Linked DNA regions of Rattus norvegicus. The protein of the gene in region 2 interacts with the protein of the main gene of each other region in a biochemical or structural test. Links are inferred from orthologs where the notes say so. Each region holds a gene or a part of one and is shown on either strand. Other genes may lie near its edges.

What was found. The genes of interacting proteins can lie anywhere in the genome.
Region 1: the proteins of Rp2 (region 2) and Arl3 form a complex in vitro, tested with the Homo sapiens proteins (2 studies listed by BioGRID). The link is inferred for Rattus norvegicus from reciprocal best matches to the Homo sapiens genes RP2 and ARL3.

What each region holds. Positions count from the first base shown.
Region 1 is NC_086019.1:255,385,282-255,389,225, forward strand, and holds the start of Arl3 (ADP-ribosylation factor-like protein 3), read right to left. Parts: upstream 2,807-3,944; 5' UTR 2,799-2,806; coding exon 2,796-2,798; intron 2,308-2,795; exon of another isoform or gene 2,240-2,307; coding exon of another isoform or gene 2,225-2,239; intron 1-2,224. UniProt on the Homo sapiens protein: Small GTP-binding protein which cycles between an inactive GDP-bound and an active GTP-bound form, and the rate of cycling is regulated by guanine nucleotide exchange factors (GEF) and GTPase-activating proteins (GAP).
Region 2 is NC_086039.1:4,456,687-4,460,197, forward strand, and holds part of Rp2 (protein XRP2), read right to left. Parts: intron 2,219-3,511; coding exon 1,553-2,218; intron 1-1,552. UniProt on the Homo sapiens protein: Acts as a GTPase-activating protein (GAP) involved in trafficking between the Golgi and the ciliary membrane.

The sequences.
Region 1 (3,944 bases), on a different chromosome or scaffold from region 2:
TTCAGTTCCTAGCACCCACACAGCAGTAACCCAGCGCCCAGGGTTCTGGTGTTCTCCTCTGAAGGCGGCAAGTATTATGTGGTGCACACACATACAGGCAGGCAAAAGACAGATCAAATAAAATTAATAAATCCAATAGTTTTTTTAAAAAATTGTTTTGGACTGGAGAGAAGGCTCAGTGGTTAAGAGCACTTGTTGCTTTTACAGAGGACCCAGGTCTTATTCCCAGCCTCTACAAGGTGGCTCACAACTGCCTGTAACTCTAGTTCCAAAGGATTCGAAGCCCTCTCCTAATTTCTGAAGGCATGAGGGATTCATGTGGTATATATATGTACAGGTAGACAAAATATTCAACATAGAAAAAAAAAAAAAGCACTCACTGCTCTTGTAGAGAACTGGAGTTCAGTTCTCAACACCCACACCGTGGCTCAAAACTGACTGTAGCTTCAGTGGATGCAATGCCCTCTTCTGGCCTCCTTGGACACAAGACATGCCTACGGTGTACATACATGTTTGCAGTCAAAACACTAAGATATATATATATATATATATATGTGTGTGTATATATATATATATATTTATCTGTATATACACGGTCAATTTGTTATATACTTAAATACAGTGCCAATTTGCACCTAGAAACACAAGCAGTGGTTCATTTACTGTGACCTATAATTATAAATTAAGCAGTCATAAAATTATGTACTCTACTTAATTGAAAAACTGAAGAAAGTTAGTAAACTGTTTCTCATTTATTTTCTCCTGGTTTGGCATGTGTTTCTTTCTTTTAAGGGGATGGCTGTTGGGGCAGGGTCTCCATCTAGCTGAGGCCGACCTGAAACTGTAGTCCAGGTTGGCCTCTTAACTCATGGTGATCCTCTTAATTTAACATGGAGAGGACTGGGATTACAGGCAGGAGCCACCACACACATCCTGGCAAGGTCTTTTAATTGCAGTTCTAATTATTTCCATTAATTTAAAAATTACCTACTCATTACGAAACAGAGTCTTATGTAGCCCAGGCTGGTCTTGAATTCCTGCTCCTCCTTCTACCTCCCAAGTGCTGAGGTTACAGGGGTTGCAGGGCCCCTTTCTCAAATCTGTTTATTTTCTGTGTAAATATTTATATCTGCACTCATTTGTTAAGACAATCCCAGCCTTTAAATGGGCAGCTCATATGTAAATAATAAAAAGAAAATGCTTGTTAAAATCTGTTTAGCCTGAGGTTAGAAATAACTGTAAATGTAACAAGCATGAAGTGTGATTGACAACCTAAGATTAAATAATTCTACTAAATAATTTGACATTGTAAATTTTTTTGGTCAAAATTTACTCGATCAATAATTATACCAAAACAGATGTGTAATTTAGCCCCTGCCCATCTATGGTTTTACTCAGGACTTCATGCTTGCTAAGCAAACCTCTACCCAGTAAGCTATACCCCTAGTACTAGGCTTAAGTCAACAGAAGCGGCCCCAAATTTTTACAAAAATAATGTGGTGTATGAGAGAAGCAACAGTAACTGGCTCTGAGCTTTAGTAAGCCAACCAACCTGTTCTAAGTGTTTTAAAATCGGGGTTGGGGATTTGGCTCAGCGGTAGAGCGCTTGCCTAGCAAGTGCAAGGTCCTGGGTTCGGTCCCCAGCTCCGAAAAACAAACAAACAAACAAACAAAAAAAAACTAAGTGCTTTAAAATCAAGTTTTCTTTGACTAGCTCTAAAAATATTAATTTCCCCGTAACTTCGTTTTTACTCCATCTACCGCGTATAAAATTAACAAGGAGGGCAGATAGATGTTCAGTAACGCTCATGATGTTCAGTCCCCACATGACGGTTCCCAGACATCCATAACTCCAGCTCCATCAAAGCCCTCTTCTGGCCTCTGCAGGAACCAGGCACACACGTGGTGCACAAACATACACACAGGGTAAACACTGGTACACATGTAAATAAAATAATAATTTAAAAAAAATCAACAAGGAACTGAGTGTCTCCCGTCAAATCTGTCACACACCCTAACTTACACTTTGGAAAGGCCTTAATTATGGCTAACGGAGAACAGGCTTGTTTCAAATTGATGCTCACTCTCTATTTCTCATTTGAGGCGAAGACCATTTGCTTCTATCAACATGGAATAAATACGGAACGAAAAATCGGTCGTCAACAACCATTAGACCTTCGCAGAACTTTCAGCGACTAAGTTGGGACTGCAGGAGCGCACCTACCACAGGGACATTCATCTCCAGCGGTACCTCTTATTGTCCTGGGACTTACTCCCTACACACCTCTCTCACTCAGAGACGCGAGCATCTAGGAAAGGAAAACTAGGTTACAGCTCCCTGGTGCCACGAGGGTGATCTCAAAGACCGTAGCGCTGCGCCTCTCCCACTTTTGGCCGGGTCTCAGATGGACCCCACAGTCCCGAGGCTCCGAGAGGTCGGCTCTGCAGTATGATCTAAGCCTGTGAGCCCGGCCTGATCTCCGCAGTTCCAGAGCCGCCTTCATCCCAGAAAGATGATGGTGCTAGGCTTCATCCCCGCCAGAGAAGCACTAAAGTACCCTCTCCACGCCTCGGATCCATCGCAAACCCCTCCTTTCTCCCTAGGCCTAGGCCTCCCTCCAGGCCCACTTTAGGGGCTCCTCCTTCGCCCCTGAAACCGATCTAGAACCCGAAAGAGCAAGGCGAGCTCCATCCCACGTCCTCCTCCGCTTTAAGAGCAGCGCCCCGCCCTGGGCCTGGGGACAGGAGGGGGGGGTGACTGGTCAGCTCTGAAGGGCCGGGGCCCCCACACTCACCATCCTCAAGCCGAGTCCCTCCTCCTCCTCCTCCTCCTCCTCCTCCTCCGCCTCCTCCTCCTGCCTCCCCCGTTACCAGGGGTAACTGCTGCGGCGCCGCCCCTGACGTCCCTCGCACGCACAGCGAAGGAGCAGAGCAGCGGGATGGGGCGGGGTTCTGCTCCTCTCTACCCAAAGTGCGCAAGCGCGCCAAAGCACCCGCCCATTGCGCAGGCGGTCTCGGGAGTGGCGGGAGGGCGGGGCGAGCTGGCGAGCGGGCCTGCGGGAGGTGCAAAACCGCCCACGTGGCTGGCCGGAGCCTGTGGCCTGTGATTGGTCGGAAAGGTGGGCGTAGGGCGAGGGGGTGGTTCCCGGGCCTAGCCGCGACACTTCAGTTCTGCTTTCCTAGTCAGCTTCGTCTGGTGGCTGTCGCGGGCTGCATCCCCTCTGGGACCAGGTAAGAGTCCTCAAGTGCAAGCCAAAAGCACAGCTACTCCTATTCCCCGCGCCTCCGAAGGGAGCCTGGCTCCCTTCTGTGGTGGCTGCCAGGCACTGCGTGCTGGACTTGCATCTGTAGAAGCCGCGTGGCGGGAGGGACGGACCAGGGCTCCAGTGGATTCCTCTCTTCTGAACCTCGTTGTCTTCGGGTGTCAGGATTTAGGGCTCAGAAGTTGTGGGCTGAGTGTCTATCTCCAGGATAGGTGATTTCTGCTGGGTTGGGGGAGGTCCCCTGAGAGAGGGCGATAGGCAGGTTAGGAACCAGTCCCTAGCATTGAGGTTAGCCGGCATCGGGAGTGTTAAATTGTCTGGGATCCTCTGGATTTTGGTAAAGCCATGTTGGACTGCAAGCGGGACCACTGGAAAGTTACCCTTACCTTTGTGGCAGGTCGGGTTCTTGACACTGGAGTACAACCTGCCGTCGTGGAAATTGCATTCTTCCTAGTGGAATGTTTCTTATACGAGGTTTAATTTCCTTGCAGCCCTAGGTGTAGATGATAGAGTCCGGACTTGAACTAACTTGTAAACCCTTTATTTTATAGTGTTGCTTGTAAACACTGTGGCTCAGGTAGGAATGCCGTTTGCCCTCCAGGACTGAACTCAGGAGGCAGAGATTTGTACTGGGCAGGCAAGCCTTCTCTGCCACTGAGCTACACTACGTCCCTCTCCTCA
Region 2 (3,511 bases):
CAGAACATTCATGACTCATAAATAAAGACTGAGTTGATGGCATTTTTTAAAACATGTTAACATATTAACATCTATATATCTACTCCTGGTTATCTACCAAAGGAGTTTAACTTCATGATTAATCTTTTGAAAATTATATGTAGTAAAAATTCACCATATAAAAGAAATTTGCCCTACAACACAGTGAAGATATTTATTTCTCAGATATTGAATTAACGTTGTGACTAGATAGTGGCAAAGGCTATAGGCATATTTTCTACATTTTACAAAACTTACAGCATGCTTTTACCATACTGGCATAACAAAAGAAAACAACATCTGAAGCCAGATATAATGGCTTAAGCCATTGGAACACAGAGGCAGAAAGATTGTGGGAAGTTCAAGATACAGCCTGCTCTACATAAATAAGTTTCAGGCTAGGTATGGCTACACAGAGAGAGATTCTGAATAAAAAAAATCAATAATGAGTAATGTATCAAAGTTTTAAAATTATACTTTAGGTTCTATAGTTTTAAAACCTGTGCCTCCAATATACTTTGTAGAGTTCAGACATGGATTCTCTGCATTACAGATATGTAATTATAGAGATACTCATTTTTACATTTTGTCTAGAAAAATCATTCCTTTTGGTGTACTTCAAATTTACAACAATCCCTTCAGAAAGAAACTTACTTATCCACTTCTGAAAACTTGATTTTTAAGTTTAAACTGATTCTATTGGATAAATCCTGATCAATGCATCTTCTTACTGGCACACCTACCAACTAAGGAACTACTGCTCTCCCCTCAAATGCTTTTTCAAGGGGAAGCTGCTGTGCAATAACTCTTCTCTACTTAATGACCTCACAGAAAGCCTCTCCTCATAAGTGCTAGAGCTTTTGACATTCCAATCCTCATCTTCTTCATATTATTGAGTCTATATTAGAGTCTATCCCAGTGTCCTATCAATGGCAATGGGGCATGAGCTAATAAGGAGCCCAGTGTGAATGGGGCTGTGATGTGCACTGTCACAGCAGGGTCTAAACATATTCTCAAGTGTCATTTACAACCAATTAAAACTCCAAAGAAGTTTCCTCATTAGGAAAGGCCATGATTCCATATGCAGTACTGTTGTGAGTATGCATAGAAATTGTTTATGATGAAGAATGACAGTTCTTGAGGCAGAGAATTGTATCTATATGCCTTCATTTCCAGCATCAACTATGTTCAATTATTTCTAAGTTGCAACTAATTACAAAGTATGTAAGCAAAGATGTGGAAAACAAACATGCATCATATAATGAATGAAATATGGTAACAACATGACCCACATATAATTGGTGCTAAAGAATGCTTACTGATTTGAACTAGGATGAAAAGTTTTCTGGAGAAGGATTTTGAAGACCGAGTGATCTGCTTCTAAGGCAAGCCTTGTGGAGGCAAGGAGTTGGGGGGACTAACTTAAGGGCTGCCAGTATTTTTAATAATAAATTTGAAAACAAGAAAACCTCGAAAGTCTCCAATGTAGCATGGCCCTCCTATGTATGACTATTTCTCTTCTCTTTCTCCTTACCTCATCAATTAGTTTCCTGGCATTTGCTGTTGTATAATCATCGGCAAATAACACCACGAGACATGATTCATCACTGTACTTCTGTCTCTGACCCCGGGATACAGGAACAATGCTTCTATTGGGATCTGTGGAAATTCGCACAGCTTTGAACTCTTCAGTCGTTGGGAGAGGAACATAGTCTTGAACCACAGCATTTTCTGGCAGAAGGCTCCAGTTGAGCTCTCCGGACACAGGTGTAAAATCATGAACATGACTCCATATGTTATTGAAGATACTGAGGCCTGCATCTTTGAATTGGGCTGCCAATTCAGGGTAGTACCATTGAAAACAGCCAAACTTGATGTTTGTAGAAGATTCAATAATGGGTTGAGTGGCACAGCACAAAAAGACTTCCAACTTTCTACAGTCCCTTACACGAAATTGTTGGCAAGCCAATGTGCACTTGCAATCTCTACAATTTCGGAAAAACACACTGCCTTTCACTGGTCCCAAAAAAATTACACAGTTAGTACAGTCATCAATAGTAATAGTAGCTGAGTGGTCAAAAATATAGATGTTACAGTTCTCACAGTCTTGAATGACAAACTGTTGTCCTGCCACTTTTCCAGGTAAGCGACCTACTGTTTCGTCCTTTAGTCCACTAAACGTGTAATCTTTTGGATCAACCTGCAGAAACAAGACACATTACCTTGAGTATTGTTAACGTTATTCACCAAAACTAAGTAAGTGCCTATGGGATGCCAGGGACAGTTAGTTGTGAATGCTAAAACTTAAGTTCCTCAGTCTCATTTAATAGAAAACATTTGTTTGTTTTCAGTAAATGAGAACAATGAGTGAGGGAAGCGGGAAAGAAACCAAAGTTCAAGGACACATTCACCAAGTGCTATGTGTACTGCCTGGATCCTGCTTCAATCATTTCAACCGTAAGCATCCTTTTTTGAGGCAACTGAGAATAGTCACACATATACACAAAGCCTGTTAGATAACATAAAGAGCTTTTATTTTTCCATTTTCTAAGTGTGATAATGGAACTGAGGGGTCGACTTACCAATTTTAAATAATCTAAAGTTTCTAACCTTGGTTAATATATAACTACCCCCTAGGAAATGCATCCACTCTTTCTGCTATCAAATTTCATTCTTGGGCACACGAACCTAAAGGAAAGCCCATGTGACACTATAATTTGGGTCTTCCTGTGAGTTAATCCAGGTGACATAAGATCACTGCTACTATCAACAGTATTTTGGCATATTTGGGCAAGGTCAAGAATATATTTCTTCAAAACAAATATTTCAATGGAAGTAGATATGTAAGTTGGGCATGAGGTATGCACCTCCAATCCCTGCACTTGGGAAGCTGAGGCAGGAAGATTACAAGACAGGCATTCAAGTCCAGCCAGGGCTACAGAACAAAAGTCTATTTCAAATACAACTGCAAAAAACTCTACTAGGAAATCAAAGCTTATCCTCTGCATCGATCCTAATCAGGACATACTAATTCAGACTAGGATATAGTTCAGTATTACAATGTAGGTTTAGAATGTACATGGCCTTGGATACATCCCTTTAACTGAAAATTAAACAATAAAAGTATAGATGCATACTATTTCAGCTTTCTGATGATTTCCTTGTACTTCAATTTTAAAACATATTTCTTAAAAAAACTTAAATTGGATATATTTCTTTACCCTATTACAAAATGATATTTGGGTCTAAGTTTCTAAATCCTGAGATTCTCATACACCACAGACAATGGCAGAATCTAAAGACACAAAAGCCTTGACATGTTGGTACTTACATCTACAAATTTTAATCAGACATTGCCTGAGCTATTCATCCAGTGTATCAAATTTAGCCATCCTGTTAGGTATTATAAACTTTGCCTCATATAATCTTTTAAATAATAATATCTAGAATATGTCACTCTTGTAAATTTTTAACTGCACTATCAAAATATAGT